Linked DNA regions of Oryctolagus cuniculus. The protein of the gene in region 3 purifies or fractionates together with the protein of the main gene of each other region. This does not show direct contact. Links are inferred from orthologs where the notes say so. Each region holds a gene or a part of one and is shown on either strand. Other genes may lie near its edges. The genes, in order: CNTN2, NFKBIB, IKBKG, MALT1, TRAF3IP2, BIRC2 and ATM.

The links.
Region 1: the proteins of IKBKG (region 3) and CNTN2 purify together in Homo sapiens (affinity purification with western blotting, with the first as the bait; 3 studies listed by BioGRID). This does not show direct contact. The link is inferred for Oryctolagus cuniculus from reciprocal best matches to the Homo sapiens genes IKBKG and CNTN2.
Region 2: the proteins of IKBKG (region 3) and NFKBIB purify together in Homo sapiens (affinity purification with western blotting; 5 studies listed by BioGRID and IntAct, with this or other methods). This does not show direct contact. The link is inferred for Oryctolagus cuniculus from reciprocal best matches to the Homo sapiens genes IKBKG and NFKBIB.
Region 4: the proteins of IKBKG (region 3) and MALT1 purify together in Homo sapiens (affinity purification with western blotting; 4 studies listed by BioGRID and IntAct, with this or other methods). This does not show direct contact. The link is inferred for Oryctolagus cuniculus from reciprocal best matches to the Homo sapiens genes IKBKG and MALT1.
Region 5: the proteins of IKBKG (region 3) and TRAF3IP2 purify together in Homo sapiens (affinity purification with western blotting; 3 studies listed by BioGRID, with this or other methods). This does not show direct contact. The link is inferred for Oryctolagus cuniculus from reciprocal best matches to the Homo sapiens genes IKBKG and TRAF3IP2.
Region 6: the proteins of IKBKG (region 3) and BIRC2 purify together in Homo sapiens (affinity purification with western blotting; 6 studies listed by BioGRID and IntAct, with this or other methods). This does not show direct contact. The link is inferred for Oryctolagus cuniculus from reciprocal best matches to the Homo sapiens genes IKBKG and BIRC2.
Region 7: the proteins of IKBKG (region 3) and ATM purify together in Homo sapiens (affinity purification with western blotting; 7 studies listed by BioGRID and IntAct, with this or other methods). This does not show direct contact. The link is inferred for Oryctolagus cuniculus from reciprocal best matches to the Homo sapiens genes IKBKG and ATM.

The regions. Positions count from the first base shown.
Region 1 is NC_091444.1:20,419,922-20,424,153, reverse strand, and holds the start of CNTN2 (contactin-2), read right to left. Parts: upstream 2,801-4,232; 5' UTR 2,724-2,800; coding exon 2,531-2,723; intron 1-2,530. UniProt on the Homo sapiens protein: In conjunction with another transmembrane protein, CNTNAP2, contributes to the organization of axonal domains at nodes of Ranvier by maintaining voltage-gated potassium channels at the juxtaparanodal region. May be involved in cell adhesion.
Region 2 is NC_091449.1:15,862,007-15,866,228, forward strand, and holds the start of NFKBIB (NF-kappa-B inhibitor beta), read right to left. Parts: upstream 2,801-4,222; 5' UTR 2,714-2,800; coding exon 2,535-2,713; intron 1-2,534. Other genes in the region: SIRT2 (NAD-dependent protein deacetylase sirtuin-2), read left to right, coding at 2,948-3,163. UniProt on the Homo sapiens protein: Inhibits NF-kappa-B by complexing with and trapping it in the cytoplasm.
Region 3 is NC_091453.1:132,763,712-132,767,955, reverse strand, and holds the start of IKBKG (NF-kappa-B essential modulator), read right to left. Parts: upstream 2,801-4,244; coding exon 2,614-2,800; intron 1-2,613. UniProt on the Homo sapiens protein: Regulatory subunit of the IKK core complex which phosphorylates inhibitors of NF-kappa-B thus leading to the dissociation of the inhibitor/NF-kappa-B complex and ultimately the degradation of the inhibitor.
Region 4 is NC_091441.1:19,722,751-19,726,250, forward strand, and holds part of MALT1 (mucosa-associated lymphoid tissue lymphoma translocation protein 1), read right to left. Parts: coding exon 3,373-3,500; intron 2,609-3,372; coding exon 2,512-2,608; intron 1,634-2,511; coding exon 1,601-1,633; intron 1-1,600. UniProt on the Homo sapiens protein: Protease that enhances BCL10-induced activation: acts via formation of CBM complexes that channel adaptive and innate immune signaling downstream of CARD domain-containing proteins (CARD9, CARD11 and CARD14) to activate NF-kappa-B and MAP kinase p38 pathways which stimulate expression of genes encoding pro-inflammatory cytokines and chemokines.
Region 5 is NC_091436.1:60,012,890-60,016,389, reverse strand, and holds part of TRAF3IP2 (E3 ubiquitin ligase TRAF3IP2), read right to left. Parts: intron 1,995-3,500; coding exon 1,840-1,994; intron 1-1,839. UniProt on the Homo sapiens protein: E3 ubiquitin ligase that catalyzes 'Lys-63'-linked polyubiquitination of target protein, enhancing protein-protein interaction and cell signaling. Transfers ubiquitin from E2 ubiquitin-conjugating enzyme UBE2V1-UBE2N to substrate protein.
Region 6 is NC_091432.1:94,088,540-94,091,432, reverse strand, and holds the end of BIRC2 (baculoviral IAP repeat-containing protein 2), read right to left. Parts: intron 1,898-2,893; coding exon 1,643-1,897; intron 1,359-1,642; coding exon 1,317-1,358; intron 1,220-1,316; coding exon 1,026-1,219; 3' UTR 501-1,025; downstream 1-500. UniProt on the Homo sapiens protein: Multi-functional protein which regulates not only caspases and apoptosis, but also modulates inflammatory signaling and immunity, mitogenic kinase signaling, and cell proliferation, as well as cell invasion and metastasis.
Region 7 is NC_091432.1:99,975,900-99,979,874, reverse strand, and holds the start of ATM (serine-protein kinase ATM), read right to left. Parts: upstream 2,801-3,975; 5' UTR 2,069-2,800; intron 1-2,068. Other genes in the region: protein NPAT, read left to right, coding at 3,153-3,189.

The DNA.
Region 1 (4,232 bases), on a different chromosome or scaffold from region 3:
TTGGGAAGTTCTCGGGGCGCCCTGAGTGTGGAGGAGGGTGGACGTCCATGGGAGGCAAAAGGCTTCTGAGCTAGGAAGGACTCCCACAGGGTGCAACGGGGCTCCCGTGTACCCCAGGGTGGGCTATTGGGCTTTGGAGAACGTGACCTGCCCTTGTGCTTGCTTGCTCCCTCTTTGGAGACAAAGCAAATGGGCGAATTCTGTAGCCAGGACTTAGCAAACCAAAGAAAGAACCTCTTGGCTCTGGATGGTGACCACCAGGCCGCAGAGCACGCCGGAACACCCTGCAGTGCCGCAGGTTTGGCCACGGCCCTGGGGGTTTGGTCCAGGTGGCGAGGTAGCCAGCTGGAGGGGCGGACATGTGCCTGGCTTCTCAGCGGGTCCTTAGGCTCACCCGCCTTTTGCCATTTGAGAGAGGATCACTGGCAGCTGGGAGAGGTAGCCCTGTCCCAGCTGCCTCTAACCTTGGACCAGACCCCATCCTGAAGGAGAGCACACCCACCCCCCGCCATGGCCACGGCCCAGGAGGCGTCTCCTGCAGTCTAACTCGAATGCACCTTGCTTCACGACAGCTTTGCTTCTGCCTCCTTTCTCCACCACCTCTTTACCGCTCTCCTAGTTTTGCCCTAGGAGTCCCTCCAAGAACACAAATACCACCCACACCCAGGCTCACAGATCCCCCAGAAATTCACCTTCTCTACCACACTGGCTCGGGAGGAGGCTCCTGGCGGGGAACCCACACCCTCCACCCCATCCCACCTGTGTGGTCCCCCCGACCCCGATGGCCTCAGAACTGGAGAGGATGCCGTGGGGCGCGTGGTCAGCCACAGCTCCCACCACCCCTCGAGCGCAATGCCCGCGAGCCCTTCCCACGGGAGTCTATTTGAATGAGGGCTGGAGAGAAGGTGCTGGAATGGAGTTGCATAAGGGAGTGAGATCTGGCGGGGACAGCGCGGGGCGTGGGGGCCGCAGCCGGAGCTGGGCTTGGACCAGGGGAGGGGTGCGAGGGAAGAGCTCAGCCAGGCAGGAGGCGGAGGGAGGGCAGAGTCAGTGTGCGTGCAGCTGGCGGGGCTGGGAGCATCTCCTGGGCAGTGTTCCTCTGCTTCCCTCGCTCCCTGGGTGTGATGGGTACCATCAGCTCGGGGGACCCCTTCCCATCTGTCTCACCTCCTGCCTTTCTCTTACTGGTGACGGACTCCCCATGACCTTGTGGCAGAAGCCCTGTCAAGGTTCAGCAGCCTGGCTAGGAAGGGGTTAACTAGCAGGCACTTCTTTCTCCCAAGGCCAGGCACCTGTTCAGACTTCCCAGCTGTCTTCCTGCCCCACCCCCAGGAAGTGCGGTCAGACTGGCCTCTCCCACAGGTGTCCACCCTTTGCTGCCCTTGGTCTCCGTCCCTCTGGGTGGGCCATGGGACGAGGCAGCAGAGGGACTCGGAGCCTAAGTGGACTGAGAGGCTCTCCCGGGCGGACACTGAGAGCAGGTGCTCATGGGGTGGTGCTGTTTGGCCCCCTTCCTCTCCAACCCACTGCTGCCCGGAGCTGAGGTCCATGGCGCGCACTGCCGGCTGCCGGCACCCCACCCCCAGACCACCCAACAGTGCTGACCCACAGCCCCCCAGAGACCCAGACTGAAGGGTATAACACGGGACGCTCCCCTTCCCCAGCCACTGCCTCGCGACAGCCCCTGTTCTGGCTTCCCAGCCCTTGGGGAAGGTGGCAGGGTTCAGTTCTGGACACCTCTGGCTCATTATGTAAGCCCCAGGGTGCTCTTTCCAGAGCCCCACCCCCACCCCGCCGTGCCCCTCCCCCCTCCTCACACCTGTCTGGCCCCAGCCCCCTGCCTCACTGGAAAGACAAACTTCAAGCAAAGCCCTCCCTCCCACCAGCGAGGAGGAGAGGAGGGGGAAGGGAGGGAGCCCCAGCCCCCACCCTCGGGGATGTGACTTGCCTCAGTTTCCCCTCCTGGAGTCCCAGCGCCCCGTCAGGCCTTCGCTCAAACTTGTGCTCCACTCTTTCCTCTCTCTCACACAGCCCCCACCCCCACCTCCAGCGGAGGCCAGACTTGACAAAGAGGTCAACCCTGCAGAGGCAGCCCCGGGTGACCCCAAATCCCAGGGACTCCAGCTCAGTTCCATGCTTGGACCTGTCCCGGGCAGGCCAGAGCCCAGGGCTCAGCTTCAGAGACTGGGCGGACCTGGACACGGGGCGGGGATGGCCCAGGAGCCTCTGCCCTCTCCCTGAGCAGCCGGCCAGCAGGAATTCCTGGACACTTTGCGGGGGGCTGGCTCTCCGGTCAGCTGGGGCTGTGGAGGCCCTGCAGGATGCCGCCCACGCACACAGGGTGGGGGTGGGGGTGGGGAGCCACCCTGGGGCTGGGCTGAGAAGTCAGACCGGCCCCTGCCGGCCAGCTGGGTGTTCCCCTCCCGGCCCCTCCCAAGTTACAAGAGGGATATTTCCAGAAGCCCCTGCCCGCGGTGGCAGTGCCCGGGCAGCCCCGGGGCTGGAGGAGACAAAAAGGAGTGGCCCCTACCTGGGGTGACAGGAGGGTGTGGGCTGGCGCAGGTGGACGCTGTCCGAGCGGGCGAGCCCTTCGGCCGGGCTGGCAGCCGTGGGGCCCGCTCCTCCGGGCGCCCGCCGGCTTGGGCGCTGCGGCGGCGGCGGCGGCAGCGGCGGCGGCGGCCGAGGGCGCGAGTGTGTGTGCGCGCCTGGAGCCACTGCAGCATCTCTGCATCAAGATGTGCTCCTCCCTCTGCCCGGCTCCGCTCACTGGCTGGCTCCGGTCCTCGGCGGCGCCCGGGCCCTGGAGATGGCTTCCTCCTGCCCCCTCCCGCCCCTCCCGTCCCCACCCTCCCGGCTTTCCCTCATCTGCTGTCACCGTCTTCCATAATGCATGGGCCAGCGCCGCCCGCCCTCCGCACCCCTGCCCAGCCCCCCTCCGCCTCGCCTCCCCCAGCCCTGAGTTGGGGGGCTGCAGAGGGGTGGGGTGAAGAGGCGGAAAGTGGCTCTTGCTCCTCCGACCGGGGAGACCCGTGGCGCCCCAACTCCCCCAGTCGCCCGTGAGAGGCACGGATCCGAATCTGAAGTCCCCAGCTTGCTGCGGGCGGCGAGTGGGACGGAGCGGCCGCCTCTGCCGCTCACCCCGCGTCACCTTCCTCTCCATTGTTTCCCGTGCTCAAAAATAGCACTGGGCTTTTGGTCAGAATAGCCCAACGTCAGGGAAAATTTTAGAATAGGTAGTAAAATTCCCTTAGCCATTGCCCTGAGCAAGTTGGAGCCCACGCCCCAGGTTTGCTATTGGTGTGCGGAATTCGTGGGGTTTTGTGACAATGGGATTCCACGGTGCATCACCATCTGCAGGCTACTTTGTAACCGCGTCATCAGTCTCCGCATGAGTACATGTGCGTCCAGGCCAGTTCACTCCTAACCCCCTAGCAGTGTGACGTCATGAACAGGTCCCAGACCAGGCACTCTGAATGTCTACAGAGTTCTCTGGGCTCTGCCTCTGCTCGGCTGTGTGTGTTTGGCCAAGCGCCTTGCCCTCTCTGAGCCTTCCTGGTAAACTGAAGGAGTTAAAGGTGACCACGGTCCCTGGCAGGTCTGAGAGTCCAGGTGCTTACCCTGGCTAGTGGCATGTCTCTCCTGCTCTGTTCCTGTCTCGTGGAGATGCACGCAGGACGCCGGGGCCTGGAGGGGTGGGGGCGGGAGGCTGGGTGGGGACCAGCCATCTGCAGCACCAGTCGGCCTGTCAGGCTGCCACTGCCGTCTCGCCCCCCTCTGGTCCGCCTGCTGTCCAGCTTGCACACGCAGGACTGGGGAGCGGTCAGATGCCGAGCAGCTGGCAGGGCCAGGCCAGCCTCCAAGCTTCAGATGGCCATACCTGTCGAGCCTGGAGCGTGGCGGGGCACCCGCCGGGGCTGGCGTGAGAGGTTCAAAGCAGGAGCGCGGGAGGCCCTGCCGCCAGCCCCACAGGCGCTCCCCTCCCTTCCTTCTGCTCCCCCTCTCAGGGCTTCCCCAGCTTGGGAGCCGGTCCTCTTTGTTCCTGCGGGAGATGCCGGGGGCCACTTGGGGCGGTGCTGGACAGAGACAGGCACAAGGACCATGGACCACGTCCAGGACATCCTTCCTGTCTGCCTTGCCAGTGTTGACTTCACCTCTCTGTCTCTCTGCGGGCCTGCGCGTAGGCCCTGAGCCCCTGAAATGAACCTTGCCCCCTGACGCTGCCCAATCAGCCC
Region 2 (4,222 bases), on a different chromosome or scaffold from region 3:
TGTACTGGGACAGAGCACTGCTTTAGGCTTTGTGGGTCACATGGTCTCCCTTCTACCCACTCAGCTCTGCTACTGCAAATAGCCATGGACGACGATATGCAAATAAAAGAGCACTCCAATTTATTATTGGGGCCCAAAATATGAATTTCATAAAATTTCCACTTACCAAGCAGTATTATTCTGCTGATTATTTTTTAAAAATTAAAAAAATATAAAGACCATTCTTAACTCAAAACCAGGTGGCAGGCTCCATTGCCAACTGCTGTCTTAAAGTGACCACTAAAATAACAAAACAGGGGCCAGTGCTGTGGCGCAGGGGGTTAAGCGGCCGCTGTGACGCCAGCATCCCACACCAGAGCCCCAGTTCTAGTCCTGGTCGTTCCGCTATTGATCCGGTTTCCTGCTAATGCACCTGGGAAGGCTGCAGAGGACGGCCCAAGTGCTTGGGCCTCTGCCACCCACGCGGGAGACCCAGAGGGAGTTGAAGGCTCCTGGCTTCGGCCTGACCCTGCCCCAGCCGTTGTGGCCATGTGGGGAATGAACCAGAGGTTGGAAGATCTCTCTCTCTCTCTCTCTCTCTCTCTCTCTCTCACTCTTTCAAATAAAGGAGTATTTTAAAATCAGGCAGAGTAGATTTCAGAGCCAGGAATATTGCCACAGATAGTGAAGGTAATATCAAAACGCTAAGGAGATCAATGAATCGAGTAACAGTATTTCATAATCCTAAATATCTGTGCCCTGATAACAGAGCCTCAAACTAGATTAAGCAAAACCTGACAGAATTAGAGAGAGAAACAGACAAACCCAGAGTTACAGCTGGAGCTCTCAGACTTTCCCTTTCAACCACTGACAGACAAGTGAAAAACCATCACCAAGGACAAAGCAGCCTGGAGCTCTGTGGGCCAACACAGCCTCCAACTGATATGCAGAGGACGCTACATTAACCACAGGGTACAGAGTATTTTAAGTGTGTGTACACCATTCTGAGCCGTAAAACAAGTCTCAAAAAACTTAAAAGAATTTAAAACGTACAAAGTATGTTTTCTGCCCACAATGGAATTGAAAATTGGCAGCAGAAAAATACCTGGAAATATTAAACTATCTGGAAACCAAATAGCAGACTTTTAAATCTACTGGTCAAAGAAGAATTCAAAAGAGAAAATTATAAGGAATACTGAATTAAGTGAAAATCAAGATACAACATATCAGAATTGTGAGACAAGGCTAAAGCAGCTTTCAGGGGAAAATTCATAGTACTCAATAACCTACATTAAAACAGGAGCAAGCTCTCAAATCAATGACATGAACTTTCATCCTAAGAAATCACAAAAAGACAGGGCCAGCATTATGGCCGCGGCGAGGACACCACTGGGACACCCATCCCATACGGGCTCTGGTTCCGTGTCCGGCTGCTCCACTTCCAACCCAGCTCCTTGCTCATAGCTTGGGAAAAGCGGCAGAAGGTGGCCCAAGTGTGTGGGCCCTGCCGCCCGCTAAGGAGACCCAGAAGAGGCTCCTGGCTCCAGGTTTCGGCCTGGCCCAGCCATGGCCATTTAATCTCTCTGGGGGAAGAGAACCAGTGGATGAAAGATCTCTCCCCTCCCTCTCTCTCTAACTCTGCCTTTCGAAATAAATAAATAAATATTTTAAAAAATTTAAAAAAGAACAAAATAAATTACAAAAAGAATAAATTAAACCCAAGATTCAGAAGAAAGAAGATAAAAGTCAGGTTAGGGGCTAATGAAATAGAAAGTGAAAAGAGGGAGAAAAGTAGCGAAACCCTCGCTGGTTCTTGGAGAAGACGTGGGTCAGGCGCTATTTTGAGCCTCTGGGGACCCAGCAATCAACGGGCAAAAAAAACCCCACAAAACCCAGAGAAGGTGCCCAGCTGGTCCTTTACAGTCTTGTCCCTGGGAGGTTCTTCCCTCCTACCCTCCCACCCAGAGAAGGCTCCGCCCCTGGTGACCGCGACCCCCGGCCCCCACGCCACACCAAAGCTTCTGTTTCCTTCACTGTCCATGGCTCAGACAGGACCCGGGTCAGGTGCAAGGCCACCTCAGCTCTCCCGTGGCTCACGGGCTGTCTCGGAATTGAAGCCGGGAAGATCAGAGCCCAGGAGCAGGCTCTTAGAGGCGGGGGCCGAGGGTCCCCCGAAGCAAAGTCAGCAGCTCAGATCAGAGATGCTATGGGGGGGTGGGGAGCCACAGCCTGAGCCCCAACTCTACTAAGGACTGGGGGTCAGAAGGTCAAATCGGGTTTTGGGATCAGTGGGTTAGGAGGATGTAGGTTCGGGGGGGGGGGCATGAAAATCAAGGTTCAGGGAAAGTAGGTCGGCAATGATCGAATCGGGCTCAAAGCTGATCGGAAACTGGGTTTTGTTACAAATTAGGATGGGGGGGGTGTGAAGTCAGGAAGTCCCGCAACGGAAGTCAGATTCAGGAGTGACAGGTTGGGAAACCACAGACACTCAGAAACGAATGGAGAATCAGGCCTCGGATCCGAGGGCTTCGTTTAACAGCCTAAGGTTCACTCACGTGTCGCCATCCTCAGTGACGTAGCCGAAGACGAGCGGAGCCCACGATAGCCCTGGGCCCAGCTCTGCGCCCAGCCCCGGGCCTCCTGGGGCTGCCGCGTCCGGCCCCAGAGAGCCCAGGCCGCTGTCGCACCATTCATCCGCGTCCGCACCTTTTCCCAAGCACGCAACCCCAGCCATGGCCCCCAGCCACCTCAGGGCCCCCCGCGGCTCCCCGCCTGCCGCTGGGCTCTGCCCGGAGCTCCGGCACTTCCGCCCTGCGGGAAATTCCCCAACACGCCCCCTGGTAAATCCAATTAGAGTGGGCGAAATCGGTCACGCCCCGCCCCCTTGGTGCAGGGTGGCCAATCAGAGCACTGGGATGCACGACGGCTCTCGGGCAATACCCACATTTTCCGAGCGCCCTTTACTAACATGGCTGCCACCGCCAGGCCGTCTGGGACTCGTAGTTCCGCCTTCGGGCGCGCACGGGGCGTTTGCGGGAAAGCCCTGTATGCGGCCGAGATGGGTGCTGGGAGTCGTAGTTCTATGCCCGAAGCCTTCCCCTTCTGTTTCCGGTGCCGTCACGGGACAGAGCAGTCGGTGACAGCCCCGAGGGCCCCCGCCCCGAGCCCATGGCCGAGCCGGATCGTGAGTCGGGGGCCCCGGTGGAAGGGTCGGGCCGCGCCGGGGCCTGGCCGAGGGCTGCAGGCCCCGGGGCCCGAGGGCGGGCGCGGGGGGCTGGGAGCGCAGGGCTACACTGAGGGAGCGGGGTTCCGAGGCTTGTAGTTAGGTTGATCCACACTCGCGGGGTGGCGGGTCTCTGGGTCGCGAGGTTTTAAGGGTCCGTTTACCTCGTCCGTGTTCCAAGTTACTAATGATCGTGTGTTTCTCACACTTTGGTTGCTGAGGACCCTCGTTACTGAGGACAAAAGTTGCCGCGGTCTCGGTTGCTAAGAGCACCTGGTTGTCAGGGGCAACCGTAGGATGCTAGGGGTGCCCGGGTGTCCCGTCCCGTCTCTCCCCTGCAGTTCCTGTGCCATCACCTCCACCGCTCCTCCTCTCCCAAACCCGCCTCCAGCCCGAGCCCCGCTTCCTGTCTAAACCTTCCTCTGCCTTGGGAGCCTCCTCTCCCTCCCCGCACACTCACACACTGCTCTGCCCTGTCTAACTCTTCCTAAGCTTCCTCCAGCCTCTCTTCCCAACCCTGCCCCGCCACAGCCACTCTGCCCCTACTCACCACCTCTCCCGCCAGCCCCCTCCCCTGCCTCCCTCCGCTCAGCTTTTGCCACTCCACCGCCCCATGACCCTGGGTCTTCTTGCCGCCCCTGCCCCCGCTCCCACCGCGGCCACTTTTAACCCTTCATTCCCTCTTAACCATTCCCCCCACTGTAACCACGTCTGCTCCCCCTCCTCCCCCAGCCTCTGACCCTCTGGAGACCCAGGCAGGGAAGGTGCAAGAGGCTCAGGTGAGATGGGGAAATGGTGGAGGGGAGGAGGAAGCTGGACTCGTTCCCACATCCCACTCTGGGGGGAGGTGGCAGAGGGGAGACATTTCCCCCGGGGCCCCTCGCCCCGCCTTGCAGGGGTGCAGCCTCTTGGGGAATGGGGGGTGTTGGGGACCTCCGAGAAAAACGTACAGCCTCAGCCCCAGGCCTGCCTTCCTAAACTTTCCTCTCTCTTTGCTGCTGCCCACCCCCCTTCCCATTC
Region 3 (4,244 bases):
GCTCACTAGGCTAATCCTCCGCCTAGCGGCGCCGGCACACCGGGTTCTAGTCCCGGTCGGGGCGCCGGATTCTGTCCCAGTTGCCCCTCTTCCAGGCCAGCCCTCTGCTGTGGCCAGGGAGTGCAGTGGAGGATGGCCCAGGTGCTTGGGCCCTGCACCCCATGGGGAGACCAGGAAAAGCACCTGGCTCCTGGCTCCTGCCATCGGATCAGCGCGGTGCGCCGGCCGCAGCGCACCGGCCGTGGCGGCCATTGGAGGGTGAACCAACGGCAAAAGGAAGACCTTTCTCTCTGTCTCTCTCTCTCTCACTATCCACTCTGCCTGTCAATAAATAAATAAATAAATAAATAAATAAATAAGAGCAGTCTTCTTCTCGCCAGACTAAGCCATGAGCATATATCAGTGCCAGCGGCAGGTGGCTGGCAGAGGCCAGAGGAGAGGAAAGCCACATACCCAGCGACCACCCCAGGTAGAGGAAGAAGCATCTGACAAAAGCGATCAGTGACGTGCAAGGTTCTAGGGCAACCACAGAACCGTATCCAACAGAGGTAGACAGTAGTTTCACATCACTGAATGTTCCAAACCCTTGGCCATCACTGCTGCCTGCCCACTCAACCCGAGTCTCAACTTGTGTGCAATGTCTTTTAAATTTCTTTTTAGTGACGTAAAAATTCATGTAACATCAAATTCACCATTTTAACTATTTTAAAGTATAGTCATCCAGTGGTTTTTAGCTAATGAAGCTGTAAGATCATGCAACCATCAGCACTACCTAATTCCAGAACATTCCCAGCACCCCAGAAAGAAACCCCAAACCCAGCAGCATTCTCTCCCGTAGGCCCCCTGCCCGCACTCCTGGCGTCCACTCAACTGCTTTCTGTCTCTGAGACATGTCACGTGAATACAGGCAAGCTCTTCCGGGAAGTTTCTTCATAAACGTTCTGAGCAAACACTGTACCCTCCCTTGTTTGGTTTCACAGCCTACCTATAGACACAATCATGAGCACCTTGGGGGACAATCACCTTCAGGGCCCCGGGGGTCTCACATGCTGCCCCCCAAGCTTTATCCAGCTTCCCAGTTGGAGGCAATATAGCCTCAAGTCTCCACTTGCTGCCAGAGACTTAGCAAAGCTGTTGTGCTGAACACACAGTCTAGGAGGCAGAAGAGCCGAGCCACCACAGGCCATGGCATGAGCCCTGCACAACTGCTCTGAAATGCTCTGGGCCCCTAGGGATGAGCAGAGGCCCCGATCTGGCTGCCAGCTCTATGTGCATGACTTGTTCTGAAGACCCCAGCACAGTGGGTCCCACTCAAGGACAACTGTGACTCCCAGGGGACTGGAGGGGCACTATTGGCACCTGTGAGTAGAAGCCAGGGATACTGCTCACCATGCCACAATGGCTAGGACAGCCCTCACCACAGAGAATTAGCTGGCCCCAGAGGTCAACAGAACTGAGGTAGAAGACACTGCTGCTCTGTGCTCAAGACAGGGCCTCGGGGCCAGCGCCGTGGCATAGTGGGTAAAGCCGCCGTCTGCAGTGCCACCATCCCATATGGGCGCTGGTTCTAGACCCACTGCTCCACTTCCGATCTAGCTCTCTGCTATGGCCTGGGAAAGCAGAAGATGGCCCAAGTCCTCAGGCCCCTGCACCCGCATAGGAGACCCAGAAGAAGCTCCTGGCTCCCAGCTTGGGATCAGCACAGCTCTGGCCGTTGAGGCCATCTGCAGAGTGAACAAGCGGATGGAAGGCCTCTCTTTCTCTGTATGCCTCTGCCTCTCTGTAATTCTGCCTTTCAGATAAATAAATCTAAAAAAAAAAAAAAAAGGCGGGGCCTCTCCAATGCAACCTTCAAGGAAACCAAGCAGTCTCTTGGTGGCTAGCTGTCTCCTAGGAAGAGGACACACATTCCAGACCCAGGTCTGCTCCCTGCGTGCATGGCATCTGCCAGCACCACTCCCTGAGGCCACAGAGCACGTGACTCATCAGCAAAAGACCCTACATCACATCCAACACTCACTTAAGGAGGTGGGGAATGGGACTACAACTGTGGCAAGAGCCACTGGCCAACTAGGACATGAATGGCCAACTAAAGACACAACTGAGGCATCAGCTACCCCACTGCAGCAGGGGTCATGCCTCTCATGCTGGTCAACACCACCTCCTCTCAGGGTGGGCCACACCCACTTCCCAGGACAGGCCACAGCACCCCCCTCTCAAACAAGACCGCAACCCACCCCAGGAAAGTCTGAGTCCCCTCCCAGGGAAGAGGTCCTCTGAGGCTGGGCCACGCTGGTCCAGCCTGGAAGTGTCAGTCCAGCCCCAGAGTCCCTGGGGGTCAGCCAAGGCAGCCCACTTCTGCTGCCCACCCCTGCTTTCTCCCATCTCCTTCCCTTCTCTGCCTCAGTACTGACCCTGCCATGCACCTCGGTCTGCTCCCAGGGAACCCCGCCTGGAACCAGGAGGCAAGGTAGCTACGCTGGAAGCACAAGCTGGCTCTCGGGGTGCCCTCGCCCCACACCCAGCAGACGCAGAGGTGCACGAGAGAAGCCTTGCCTTCAGCAGGACCAGATCCCCTGACTTTGTGCCCCACCTACTTGCTGTCCACCTCACCTCGGAGCTCTTGGTTCTCCTCCAGACAGCGCTGGAGAGCGTCAGGAGCACCCTGCTCTGCGGGCAGATGCAGCATGGCCGGCTTCCCCAGAGAAGACTCTTCAGGCAGCACGTCCTGGTCCCCGGCCGGGCCGCCGCTGGGCTGCACCATCTCACACAGCTGGTTCTTCCAGGGCTGCCTGCTCATCCAAGGCACGCTCTTCGAGAAAGGCAGCAAAGGCATCCCATGAGACCCAGGGGAATTCTCATCCCCAGCAGGATAAGTACACTCTGTGCAGGAGCTCTGGGGCCATGAAGGCAAAATGCTGATCCCTCTGGCCGAAATGGGGTTTCGATCTAAGAGGTCACAAACACCCTCATTCCGAAGGAAGATGCTGAACCACCTCTGTGAGACTTGCACAGGCCATGGCTTAGCACTGGTTACGGACTCTGTACCAGCACCCATCTTCAGGATGCACACCTAAGGCAGGAACTTTGCCAGAGGCAGAAAACTAAGGATTATTGTAGCAGGAGACATCGGTGTGCGCTGGGACCCCTACCCTTACACAGACCCTCAAGCCGGAGGGGATGTTCCCTCCCAAGTACTGTAGGCTGCATGGTAGCCCCAAAACCTATAAATGCAACTTTATTTGGGAAAAGTATCTTTGCAGATGTAAACTAAGGGCCTTGATCAAAATGAGAGCTTGCTGGGTTATTCAGGTGGGCCTTAAATCCATTAACAAGTGTCTTTATAAAAGACAAAAGACAGAGGAAAACATGCAAGGAAGAAAGCCAGGTGAAAACAGTCAGAAGGGGCCAGCATTGTGGTGTAACGGGTTAAGCCACCATCCCATATAGGCACTGGTTCAAGGCCTGATTACTCCACTTCCAATCCAGCTCCCTGCTAATGCACCCAGGAAAGCAGCGGAAGATGGCTCAAGTGCTTGGGTCCCTGTACCCAAGTGCGAGACCCAAATGAAGTTCCTGGCTCCTGGTTTCAGCCTGGCCTGGCCCTGGCCATTGCAGCCATCTGGGGAGTGAAACGGCAGACAGAACATCTCTCTCTCTCCATCCTACCCTCTCTATCTGCCTTTCAAATAAATAAATCTTTTTTTAAAAAAAATGAAGCAGATAGTGGCCAGGGAGTGCAGTGGAGGATGGCCCAAGTCCTTGGGCCCTGCACCCCATGGGAGACCAGGAGAAGTACCTGGCTCCTGCCATCGGATCAGCGCGGTGCACCGGCCGCAGTGCGCCGGCCGCAGCGGCCATTGGAGGGTGAACCAACGGCAAAGGAAGACCTTTCTCTCTCTCTCTCTCTCTCTCACTGTGCACTCTGCCTGTCAAAAAAAAAAAGAAGCAGATAATAAAGAGATGTGGCCACATGCCAAGGAAAAATCAGAGCCACCAGAAGCTGGAAGAGACGAGAGAGAACCCTCTCCTCTCAGCCTCTGGGGCTGCAGTCCTGTCGACTTTTTGCTTTCCAACTACTGTCCTCCAGAACCACGAGATTACATTTCGGGTGCTTTAAGCCACCAAGCTTGTGGTCACTGCCTACAGCAGTCCTCACAGACCTAGCAAGAGGGGCTCTGAGTCCACTAACAGTCTAACAAGTGTAGCCCCTGGAGTCAGATATGCGCTGAGGAATCTTCAAA
Region 4 (3,500 bases), on a different chromosome or scaffold from region 3:
ACACTGTTCAGAATATGCATCAATTAACCATAAAATGTTTGGACTTTGTAGGCATTTTTGGAAAAAGATATTTCCATCTGAAATTCTAGAGCAACTTTATAGCTAGATTTTCATCTTTACATTTTCTGAATAGAGATATTTGAAAGTTATTACTTCACAGTGCATTCAACACTACAAAAATATGGAGGTTTCACAGGTATAGAAGCAGCATGTCAAGGTGATAATTTCCATGAATTACCCTGAGCTTACACTCATTCTTAGAGGTCTCCAATGTGAGTTTTAAAAACCATGCAATTAGGGCTGGCACCGTGGCTCACTAGGCTAATCCTCCGCCTAGCGGCGCCGGCACACCGGGTTCTTGTCCCGGTCAGGGTGCTGGATTCTGTCCCGGTTGCCCCTCTTAAAGGCCAGCTCTCTGCTATGGCCAGGGAGTGCAGTGGAGGATGGCCCAAGTATTTGGGCCCTGCACCCCATGGGAGACCAGGAGAAGTACCTGGCTCCTGCCATCACATCAGCGTGGTGCGCCGGCCGCGGCGGCCATTGGAGGGTGAACCAACGGCAAAGGAAGACTTTTCTCTCTGTCTCTCTTTCTCTCACTGTCCACTCTGCCTGTCAATTAGGCAAAAAAGAGAAGAGAGGAAGAGGAGTTTGATTAGGATTTCTTCACCCAGGTAGAGTTAACAGACCATGTGATTAGAATCCCCTCTTGCTTACAACCAAGTTATTAGTATGAAGACAGTAATTATAGGACTGCCAAACTGATGTTATGGAGATGAAGGACAGAAAAATCAAGAAATGTAAGACTTAACACTATTTTCTTGCTTTACACAAGAGCCCAAGGTTACATAACAGTTTGAAGAGGCAGAAATTGAAAAAATACTTTGCTATTCACAAACCTAATTATGCAAACCAATGTTTGCACCAAGAGAAGGTGATCTATGTTTTAATATTTACTCATTGCAATTTAAGCACAATGCTTAGATTAGTTTATGTTGAAATATTTTCAGTTCTTTTTATATATTATGGTAAAGGTGACATTGTAGATTAATCTACAGCCTTAGAGTTTATAAAATCCTCATGATTTTAGATTAAAACAGAATATCTTATTAATATAATTAGAAATATTGATAAACATGGTTAAATAATAAATCTTCTGTCTCCAAGCTTCCACAGAAACTATTTCAGCATTTGAAAGGCAATTTATTCTGGCTAAAGGATAGATAAAATAATCCAAACAAATAACCATGACAGTATAGTCATCCATTTTTTTAAAAAATAAATTTTATGAAGATAAAAATAAGAGTTCATTGAAAATCTTGGCTATTCAAAAATTATGCAGGAACTTTGTTCTCCTATGCAACAGAAAATCAACGGAATCAATATTAACTCAAGATTAGTTATTGTCATAGTGTGTCTGTTCAGTAGTTTTCATGGCAATTTATAAAGCTTCAAAGACCAAGAAACAATATCCTCCAAGAAAAACAGCTTCTTGGAGTAAGTATTTTTTCCATCACTGCACTCAGAGAACTAGAACCCTCCAGCAGTCCCGAGAATAACCCGCATGCAGAAGATGTGGTCTCAGACCAAAGAACGACACTACCTTCAGTGCACTCCACTGCCTCATCTGTTCTTCCTTGTGTCAGAGAAAACAAATGTGAATATAGTGGAATCCATCTTAGGAAGGGCAGCCATCAAGCAGAGAGATAAATACATAGGGACATGTTGGCAAGCCAACACACACCAACATCTCCTATTTGTTAACAATGCAACTGTAAATGCAATTAGCTTAAATAGAATAAACTCCCAATTATGCAGTTCAGAATATGAATTGTTAATTGATAATTACGTCTTTCGTCTGTATAAGGTTTTTTATTTTTTTTAAAAGTTGTTTATTAATTTGAGAGACAGAGAAAGACTGATAGAGAGGTCCTATCCCCTGGTTCATTCCCAAATGCCCACCACAACTGGGGCTGGGCCAGGATCCAGGAACTCAATCCAGGTCTCTCACAAGGGTGGCAGGAGCCATCACTGCTGTCTCCCGGGGTCTGCACTGGCAGGGTTGGAATCAGGGTCAGGAGCTGGAGGTGTGTACCATACTCAGGTACGGTCCCTCAGATAAGAGATACAGGCATCTGGAAGGCCAGATGTCTTCCCCCATGATGTTTATAAAAATGTTTTATTAAAATATTTTGTAACCAAATTGAGTTTTCTGTAGCTAAAGCTTTAAAGAAGACATTTTTTGCTGTGCATTTAAAATAAACTATAAAATTTAAAAATAACTAAAACAACGTGAATACGATATTTTTCTGGTTTTTTGCTCTTTGGATGTGAACTTAGATTATGGATCTAGTATGCACTCTCTCAAATTTCTATATAAACAAAATAATTTCTAATACTTAACATACCATTAAATGGTACTAGGGGAAAAGCAGAATTTCCTTTGCTTACACATTCAGTTTATACGGTTCATTTTACATTCCACTTGTCAGAACACTGAGCAATACTGCTTACCTATGATGACTTCTGCCCTCTTGCTATCTTGACTGTCTCGTTCATTATACACACGACACCAATAGGTTCCCTGATGTTCCAAATCCACATAGGGCACCTACGTTGGTATCAGAACACATACATATTTCCTCTTCAACTTTAATTTGAACTGTATTTTTTTTTAAAATAAAAAGCCTCCAAAACAAAACATTTCAGAAAGTTTCAGACATTCTTAGATTATGCACTAACTTAAATAAAAAAAAGCTAATGATAAAATGATCTTAACACTGGTGAGTTTATGCAAAACTAGTTGACATTTTACAAAGAAGCCCCTGTTGAATTCCAGTATTTTTGCAAATGTAAGAATCAATATTAAATGGACCTGAAGTAAAAACACCGGAAGCATTAACACATTCTAATGCATATCAGGGTTTTTTGTTTTTGTTTTTTTTTTTTAAGATTTATTTGAAAGGCAGAGTTATAGAGAGAGGGGGAGAGAAAGAAACCGATCTTCCATCTACAGGCTCACTCCTCAAATGGCCACAATGGCCAGGTGGCCAGGGCTGGGCCAGGCCAGAGTCAGGAGTCAGGAGTCAGAACTTGATCCAGCTCTCCCAACACGGGTGGCAGGAGCCTAAGTACTTGAGCCATCTCCTGCTGCTTTCCCAGGAACATTAGTAGAGAGCAGGATTCGAAGTGGAGCAGAGGGAACACAAACGGTGCCCATAGGGGATGCCAGCATCACAGGTGGTGGCTTAACCCACTGTGCCACAATGCTGGCCCCATCAGTTTTAATATTCACTTCAAATTCAACTATATCATTTGTTTTATACATTTCCCAGCCCCTCTCCCGTCCAAATACCCCAAAAGTCAACTTCCTACCATGTAGAGCTTTTTTGTCTCATGTGTTAAGGGTGACTCATTTTTGAACCACTGGTAGTGAGGAATAGGGCTTCCCACAGCAACACACTGCAGAATCAACGTGCTGCCCGGCAGCAGCTTTTGGGATC
Region 5 (3,500 bases), on a different chromosome or scaffold from region 3:
CCCTGAACTCTGGCCTGACAAGAGCAAGTAGGGGGAGAATGAGCGTGCGTGTGCACACACACACACACAGACACACAGACACACACATACCTCCTACTTTGGGAGGAAGGCCAGGAAGTGGGAGTTGACTAAAAACATAGCTCAGAAATGTCGGTAAAAACTCCAGTGCTGGAAGGAGCCCCGTGGCTCACACACTCCTTCACCGAGCCCTAAGCCCGCTTAGAGCTGGGGACGGCACAGTGGGGACCGGCTGGACCCAGTCAGGACCACAACCAGTGTTTCCTCAGGCTAACGTCTTAGGGGAAGACTGTGCACAACACACGAATAATCTCTGTGTGTGGGACCAGTTACATGGCAGGAATCCCCTGGGGCAGACAGGGGAGAGAAAAATAGGCATCTGTGTGTTCATCTGAGCGCGGGGCTTCGCCTCTTGTGTCTTGGAGCCCCAACTCCCATAGATGTGTGTGTGTGTGTGTGTGTGTGTGTGTGTGGATCACATTCACTCATTTAAGCAGCAAGGCATAGGGATGGTGTTCGATTCTTCTTCCCCCTAACACTCCTCTGATTCCTACTCAAGTGATTCGAGGACTCCCTTTATGGAGTATGATGAGACGTGCGTGATCCACGGACTGACAGCAGGGCTGTTTCCTGTGCGGGGCAGCACCTGCTCTCCAGAAATGCTCAGAATTAAAATGCAGAAGGTGTTAAGATGCTAAGAAACATTTTTGGCATGAAGGCAACAACGGTTCCTTGCCATGGAAACCTTTCAGAGTTGTAACTGACTGCAGATTACGATTCCCCAAAAGGAGCTGACAAAGGCAAAGGGCTTCAGAGCCACCCAGATTTGACAAGGGCTTATTAGAAGCCCCTGAGCTTTGGGGCCACCACTGTGGCAGAAAGGGTTAAACTGCCACCTGGGATGCTGGCATCCCATATGGGCACCAGTTCAAGTACTGCCTGCTCCACTTCTGATCCAGCTGCTTGCTAACGCACCTGGGAAAGATGGTCCAAGTGCTTGGACCCCTGCCACTCACTTGAGAGACCCAGATGGGGTTCCAGGTTCCTGGCTTTAGCCTGGCCCAGCCCCAGCTGTTGTGGCCATTTGGGGAATGAACCAGCAGATGGAAGATCTCTCTCTCTCTCTCTCTCTCTCTCTCTCAGTAACCTTGCCTTTCAAACAGATAGATCTTTAAAAAAAATCTGAGCTTCTCTAGCAAGCACAACTGATAATAGTTTCACAAGTGCTGTTTCTTAAGATTTCTGGAACGAACTCTCCTGACTGACCTTAATCTGAGAACATTTTGGTGATATTTCAACATTTCTGGTTCTGGCAGCAAAACGTGGAAAAAGAATCATCACCTGACACAGCCAAATGTTTCCTTAAATAAAAGCCTTAGTTGGCTTGTGGTTGTGAAGCAGTATGGAGACTGCGAGGCCGATTTTTTTTCCAAACAAGATTGCTCATTCCTACAGGAAATGACCTCGTTCTTGACGGCTGCTGCTGGTTTACGGTGAGACACCAGGTCCGTGTCCAATACCCCATGGACGGCCAATCAATTTACCCAGGGACTAGTCCGCCCCAGAGCATCATTTAGCAGAGAGCAAAAGCGTTGGCGTTATTTGTTGGAGTATGTGTTCAGGAAAATCTAGCGGTGAGCAGTGTGTGAGCATTTCTGGAGGTGTCAGATTCACTGAAAACATTCCTACAACACGCGGGTTACTCTCTAAGCAAGAAGCAAAGAAGGACATTTTCTTTCCCCGTGTCTATGAGCAAGCTCTGAGGTCAGAGTCGACAAGACTGACAAGCAGAAGGCGAAAACAGCATTGCAAACAACTTACGCAACTCTTCTGGCAAATTGCTTGTCCTCAGAGTGCCTCTGGCTGCAGTGTTGCTGGGGCGTCGAGGTACAGCAGCTGGGGACAGAGCCTGGGCACGCTCCGAGGACTCCTCCAGAAGCCCGGCCCTATTGGGCAGCTGGGGGTTCGGCTGGTCCCTGCGGAGGAACACGTTTCAAGGAAATGTTCATTCTGCATGGAGGCAAACCTTGAGGGGCGCTAAGGCTCTAAGAACCATGGGAAGGGATCAGCGGAAGATCGCTCTCCTCTGCCTCCATTGCTTAGCCAAGACAGAAAGAAGAGGGGCACCCCAGGGAGCCTAAATCAACAGCAGTTAAGCTGGCCTTGAGCTCCTTGTGGCGAGGGGGAAGCAGTTCTGATTTCTCCATTCAAGGACTAGTTGGGAAACTAAGTCTCATTCCCAAGGCACACAGGTCACCCACAACACACGGACAGCTGATGTTAAGGGCATTCAAATAAAAAGAGGTACCTTCTAGCTCATGATGGGTAACATTCCATTATGTATCAAAAGGTGAAAGAGGCCATGAAGATTTAAAAGGACCCCTGCTGTTAATATATGAATGAAAACCTTTGCAACACGGCTTCTGTGTGATGATGTTGGCTGCCAGCACTGCCACAAACGTTGTGCTGAGATGAACCGTCAGGAGGAGGGTGTGGGAGGCAGAAGGGAAGGAGAACGTGGCTTCCATTGATAAGCACAGTCATGAGGTCACAGGTGTTCAGGGCAGGGCCTGGGCACCCACTTTTTCCAGGGCAGATCCAGCCATTGCCAAGGATGTGGTGGTGTTGACTTTGATTCCCACCTTCCTCGCTGCACCCTTGGTTGTGGGGGTGGAGCACGGGGTGGTCCTATTCTATAGTGTTGCTCAAGTCCAACTAACGCTTGCTTCTCCAACCTCCAACAATTTTGTAAGCACTCATTTCCCTGTATTAACTCCCCTTCTGCTTAAATAGCAGGAGCTGCTCCTGTTTTCTCTGATTGAATCCTAACTTGTAGCGGGACCAAAACTGTAATTCTTAGGCTTTATTCCATTAAAAAAAAAAAAAAAAAAACTCTGAAACTTATGACCACACGTTAAGATTTTAAAAATCTAGGTAGGGGTGTTTATTTCTCTCTTGGAAGCCCCCCTCCATGCCTTTGACTCTAATAAAAATCTAGGTAGAGCCTGCAGCCCATATTGGAGTGCCTGGATTAGATTCCTGGCTCCAACTCCTGACTCCAGGTTCCTTATCATGTACACTCTGGAACACAGTGGTGATGGCTCATCACCTGCCACCCACATGGGAGACATGGATTGAGTTCCCTGTTCCTGGCTTCAGCCTGACCTGACACTGGCTGTTGGTATCTGGAGAGTGAGACCAGCAGATGGGAGCATGTGCTCTCTCTGTCTCTGTGTCTCTGTCTCTCATAAATAAATAAATAAGGGCCAGCACTGTGGTGGAGCGTGTTAAGCTGCCATTCACAGCACCAGCATCCCATCTGGGTGCCAGTTTGAGTCCTGGCTGCCCCACTTCCAATCCAGCTCCCAGCTAAGGCACCTGGGAAAGCAGCAGATGACCGAAGTACTTGGGCCTCTGCACCCACGTGGGAGATGTGGAGCAAGTTCCTGGCTCCTGGCTTCGAATGAGCACAGCTCCAGCCG
Region 6 (2,893 bases), on a different chromosome or scaffold from region 3:
TACATACCTGTGAGACTGGATTTTCTTCATACTTTTACCAAAATATAATATTATGCAGAAGCAGGTACAAGAATCCATCTGTTTTATTCTAAGACAAACTTTAAAAGCTTTGCTAAAATGTAACAATGCCACTCTTAAATTTTCTTAAAATTCTCATCAGCAGTGTTATATTAACATAACACAGCATTTAAAAATAAGTTACTTAAGCTAGATCAAAGAAGTGGAGTAGCCAGAACTCACACCAGGCACCCCCTATGGGATACAGGTGTCCGGAGTGGAGATTTAAACTGTGACATCAAACAGCATACTGGTTCATTTTCCATTCAACAATACATCAATATTACACAAAGCAACTAGAGAGTATCATCTAAAGGAGTTCTCATAAATCACATTATTTTAAAAAGCACTTGTTTTATTAATTAAATTTTTTACTTAATAGCATTTGAATGCAATGAAGAATTTAACAAAACTACTTTTTAAAATCAAGACAGGAAAAATCATTTTGATAATGCAATCCATTTTAAACACTTTATTAAGATATTTCTCACAAACTAGGGGAAAACTTATTATCAGTAAGAGAAAAAATCCTTAATTTACAACACAAGTAAAAAGCACCAAAGAGAATTTGGTACCATCATTCTGATGAGCTCAAGTTCCTGGTTTCCAATTCTGTAAACCACACTCTCATGTAGCACTACTCAAAGCTTGCAGAAGGAACACCAAATCTAGAAACTCCTGAAATGATACCTAAGAAGCACTGACACTACTTCTTTTATTTCTCCCACGTCCACATATAGATAATAACTTAGTTCTTCAAACAGAAATCTTCCTTTGCAAATAAACAGATTCTAAGATTAAATACATAACACTATCTTTTTGGAAACAAAATTATTAATACCAAAGCAAAGCAGAACATGAATCTATCTGATTGAAGAACCAATAATTCCTTTTTTACTTCAGGTGGCTTCAAATGCTCAATATTTTAAAGACTTTTCTACATGGGTAATACATAGCCTACTTTTCCTTTATGAGAGAAATGTGCGAACTGTACCCTTGATTATACCCCTGCAAATAGGGCATTTTCTTAGAGAAGGGGCACATCCTTGGCACACTACAAGATGACCACAGGGAATGAATACAATAGAAACTTCTTTGTCCATACACACTTTACAAGTTCGTTCTTCTTGCAACCTCCTCAACTGTTCTTCCAGTGACAGACCTAATAACAAAAAGAATTTCAATAAAATTCAGTTTCCAGTTTACCTTCCAGTAATTAAAGATTTTAAGTTGGTTTCAAGTCTTAAATTTTATTTTACCTGAAGCATCTTCTGTTGGAATATACTTCATGTTCTTTTCCACTGAGTAAAGAAAACATAAGATATCACTCTACCAAACAGAAAACTGCTTCACTTACTAACCACTTTTTTTTTGTACCCACTACTTACTGAATAATGTCGATTTTTACCTATAATTGATCAGAAACTTTCAAATTCAGGCATACTACTTAGGCCATAAAAGACTTCATTTTTTTTGGAACAAGTAAAATGTACAGATTATAGTTGGCTGATTATAATTATTTTCCTGTCAGGAGACATGAACATAAGCCTAAGGATTTCTAAAATGATCTTCCCAAAAAACTCACCAAATAAGTTCTCATACAATGTAGAGTCAATTTCTTTCAGACAGTTTTTGAAGATGTTGGCTGCCACATTTCCTTTAACTAAAACAGTATCAATCAGCTCTCTTGCTTGTAAAGGTATCTGTGTTTTTTGTTTAATAATATCATGTTCCTGCTTGTTAATTACATTGGCTTTTAAAAGATGATCCAGGATAGGAAGCACACATGTCAACTGTTGAAAGAGAGCCATTCTATTCTTCCGAATTAATGACAAGTCGTCTTCATGTAAAAAAAAAAAAGGGGGGGGGGAGAATATGTTAGATTTTAAACACCTCTAACTATACTGTACAGTCACTACCAACCAACCTACAAATACTTTAGGCACTAAATAAGTAGAGCTTGAAAACAAACAAAATGACTTGCATGCATTTTAATGTGTCATTTGGAAAACTTGCAGATTTAGGCTGGTGCCGTGGCTCAATAGGCTAATCCTCTGCCTGCAGGGCCGGCACACTGGGTTCTAGTCCCGGTCGGGGCGCTGGATTCTGTCCTGGTTGCCCCTTTTCCAGGCCAGCTCTCTGTTAAGGCCCGGGAGTGCAGTGGAGGATGGCCCAAGTCCTTGGGCCCTCACCCGCATGGGAGACCAGGAGAAGCACCTGGCTCCCGGCTTCGGATTGGTGCAATGCGCCGGCCGTGGCAGCCATTGGAGGGTGAACCAATGGCAAAAGGAAGACCTTTCTCTCTGTCTCTCTCACTGTCCACTCTGTCAAAAAAAAAAAAAAAAAAAAGAAAACTTGCAGATTAAGACATGTGTGTTATATATTGGGTCTGTATAATTTTTAAACATATGTATTTATAAGTTCTAGAACCTCACTTTTCCTTTATTTTGTAAAAAGCAAGCATAGAATTTCATAGGACAGTAGTGTCCTACTTCTGTATTCCTTCCACCAAGAATTAATAATACTGACTTCTATTTGCATTTTATCACTTTATTTCCACAAGCCTTTGAATATAAATTGTTTCATTTGGTGTCGGCACTGTGGCATTATGGGTAAAGCTGTTGTCTGCAATGCCAGCATCCCATTGGGCTCTGGTTCATGTCCTGGCTGCTCCACTTCCAATCAAGCTCCCTGCTAATGGCCTGAGAAAAGCAGTGGACAATGGCCCAAGTGCCAGGGACCTGGAAGAAGCTCCTGGCTTTAGCTTGGCCCAGTCCCAGCCACTGCAATCATTTGGAGAGTGAACCAGTGGATGGAAGATTTCTGTCTCTATAGC
Region 7 (3,975 bases), on a different chromosome or scaffold from region 3:
TAAATAAACAGAAGATATTCATTCATTGATACAAACAATATTTACTATGTACTACTGTGCTCAAGGTACTATATCAGGGACAGCTAGACAAATCAATGAAACATATAAATCCTGCTTTCATGAAATTCTACCTAGAGGTAGAAAATAAACAAACTGATAAATCAATGCATAATTCCAAAATGTGATGTATACTGTTAAAAACCAAATTCTTAAAACTGAAGGATATTAGGGGCCGGCGCTTTGGGGCAGTAGGTTAAAGCCCTGGCCTGAAGCACTGGCATCCCATATGGGCACAGGTTCTAATCCCAGCTGCTCCTCTTCCGAACCAGCTCTCTGCTATGGCCTGGGATAGCAGTAGAAGATGGCCCAGGTCCTTGGGCCCCTGTACCCAACGTGGGAGACCCAGAAGAGGCTCCTGGCTTTGGATGGGTGCTGCTCCGGCCGTTGTGACCATCTGGGGAGTGAACCAGCAGATAGAAGACCTCTCTCTCTCTCTGTAACTCTTTCAAATTAAAAAAAAAAAAAAAAAAAAAAAAAAAACCTGAAGAATACGAAGAATACTCTGAAATAAAAGGGTTTTGGGAGCAATTACAGAAACTAGCCAGAAAAAAGGAGTGGTCTAGAAGCTCCTGTAACCACCAGCAGAGAGCTGTCTGAAAGGTTTTTTTGCTGGATCTAAAAAACCAAAATATTTTATACTCAAAGTTTGGGAAAAAGAAAGTATAAACTGTTTATAATGAGCCTATATAGAGAAGAGTGGCAGTACAACTAAAAGGCAGGAAGGCAGTCTCTAAGTATTTAGCTATTCCTAATCAGTTGGGATTGCCTTGATGGCCTTGGAGTTAAAATTTCAACATGCATTCAGGACATCGAGCAGTTTTTTTTTGTTTTGATTGGCCAAAACTGGTAGCTGACTAACTTCTCTCTCCTCTCCACTCTCTAGCTGTGTAATTAAATTTAGGACATCTTAGAATACTTGCTTTCATCTTTGCCTCAAAGAAAGCAATACTTAAACAATAATAGAAAGAAACTAATACTTAAACAATAATAGAAAAAACCAGTAGAGAGGACCATTTTAGATAAATTATAAGGAAACATCTCAAAGGAAGGTATAAAAAGAAAGTCAAGATCTGAATAAACCAGTGCCAATCATATAAAGAGCTGAAGAACTGACATTTGAGGGAAGTAATCTTGCACAACGCCAGGGCACTAAGATGGAAAAGAGTATGTTAGGTTGGAGGAGGTGGAGACGAGCCAGTCAGAGTAAAAGTATCACCAGATAAAGACAAACCCCACTTATACATTAATCCAGACTACCTACGATTCATTCATATTCCACAGAAACAACACAAATTTCCTAAATAACAGGCTCTGCACCGGCGCATTCAATATTCGTTGTTATTAACCAGCTTAATCCCTTTGCAGAACGTTGACAATGATGCCCATTCCATCCTCCTAGAAATAACTTTGTCCTTGGCATGCAATTCTTGGCTCTGTAGTCAATGTGTATTAATCCAGCCAGAGCAAGTTAGCTCATGTGTCCAAACCTTAATGATAAAAACAATACTAGCATCTACCCCAAAAACTTGTTGTAAGCATGCAGGTGCATGTTTAGCAAAGCACCTGGAACACAGCCAGTCACCACGTTAACAGTTATCAGAATGAATTCCCTTCCTTTATGATTGCTCCATAAGTCTCTTTCGATATTTCTTCCCTTCCCACTTCAAGCAGCATCCTTATCTCCTTGGTCTCATTCATTCCTGTGACCTAAACATACTGAAAACTCCCCGAACCTATTTCTTTCAATACTAGATCTCACCCCTGATCTTCAAGAACCTTCTACCATGTGCCTTTTACAGGTAAGTTTCTTTCTGTTTGGAAAGTTCCTACTATCCCCTAAGGCAGTTTAGATACTGCAAGGGCTCCCGGCAAACTAAAGTGTTTCTTCCAGGCCGAGTTTCCACAGGACCTGTAACTGCTCTTCTAGAACATTATCCACCTTGCAGTGTAGTTAATTATCTGCACCTGGGAAAACAGCTCTGCAGGGCTCACCACAGGGAAGGATTACCTCACGTAATTTTCCAAGGAAGATGTCAAACAGCTGGCAGAATTCGAACTCGGTACTGTGATTCCAGAACCTACATTCTTAACCACGAGGCTATAGTTAAAATCTCACTAAATGCTCGCTAACTAAAAGTACCAATTATGACACGAGGTTAAAAAAAAAAAAAAAAGGTAACTACTCCAATCGCCTAGTTGAATCTGAACCCTAAGGGCACGGGAGAAGCAGACGCGGAGAAAGGAGAACTCAATTCAGAAGACTTAAAAGGAAGTTCAAGGATAACGCCGCAGGGGGCTCGGAGGGAGTGCGGTGAGTAGCCGCAGCAGCAGCGAGAATAACGAGGGAGAGAGCGCTCACGGGCCGCTCTGAAAGAGCGCGTGGGATTAGGAGTCGGGGGAAAAGGACAGACTGGGTCCAATACGACTCAGTTCTGTAAATACACAAGTCACTGCGTGGCTCCGCACCCCTACCGCTAGACTCTGACGGCCCAGGCAGTGCCGGCGGCGGCTTGCAGCACGGATCCCCCAGCTCCTCTCGCCACCTCCGGTTGCCACAGCTTCCACACTCCGTTATCCCCGCAGCTTTCCCCGCTTCCGGTTCAAACGCCGCGTGAACTCGCAGCGTCCTCTCGGAAGAAAGCGCTAACAGGCCACAGAGCACACTCTGCTCATGCGCACAAGTATCACGCGCTTTCCGTCGCCCAACACTGCGCACCCCCAAAACATTCTGCTCGTCTGCGGAAACGCGCCTGCGCGCTGCCCACCAATGGCTAGCGACTCTGTGTCAGTCGCCCGCCCTCTGGCTGCTGCTCCGGCGCTCGCACCCCGCCCCTTCACGCTCTCCGGCCCCACCCCTCCAACTCTGAGGGCGGAAGTGACGGCAGTTCCAAGGAGAACGGAGGCGGGTTTCATTTCGGCGCCTTTCTTTCTCTGGCGGAAGCCATTGGCTGCCGTGGAGCGAAAGAGGCGGGACAAATTGCCGCGGGTTCAGTGCCGCCACTGGAACCGGGAGATGCGGCGTAGGAGCTGTCGCTGTGTTTCTCTGTACCTGCGTCTCGTCTCTTATTGTGGTTCGTTCTGCGGCGTCGATCATGCTGTTACCCTCGGACGTTGCCCGGCTAGTATTGGGTAAGCGCGGACGCTGGCGGGAGGGTTACTGGGCCAGGCAGAGAAGGAGGGAAGGCGCTTCGGAGCTAAAGCCTTTCTCTTGGTGGGGCAGCCTTGGGGTTTTGCTTCCCCGCTTGCAAGTTCGGACTGGCTGTGATTTTCCGTCGCTCGCTGGCCCTGGTCGCGTACGCCTCGTTGTGTGTGGATGCTCTCCTGCTCGGGCTGTTTGTCTAGGGGAGAGCCGGAGAGAAGCTCGGAGGGCAACACCTGAGGCCCGGATTCGGAGGGAAAGTCAGGCCTGCACACTTCACTGGGACCCCTGAAAGAGAGTTGTCTACGTGACGGGGCGGACTTCGTCGTCTTCAACCTTGCGCGTACTTTCCCTTGTCAGAGCTGAGACCAAAATAGGACAAATAAGGACTTCCCGGCCACCCAGCTTTGTAGAAAGACCTTCGTGACGTCTTTCTCATAACCCTTAGAACTCCGGATTTGGGACGAGTGGGGGTGGTCCTCCTCCTCCATCCTCCCGGCAGGACGTCCTCCCGTGTAGAGGGTTGAAATGCCAATTGCAAATTTGAAAGCAGCTGCAATTCCTATTGCTTTGATGAGCGAACAGTTACGGAAGGGAAGTGCCTTCCAGCTGAACGTTTTCTCGCCCTAGTTAGCTTTTCCTCCATTTGTGCCACTTGTCTGTCAGGGTGTATTGTCTGTGTGGGAGACGGTTTTTTTGTTATTGTTTGTCCCTTCAAAGAATAAAGAAGATTGTACTGCTAGCAACGAGAGCCACTTAAGCTCAAAAACGGGGCC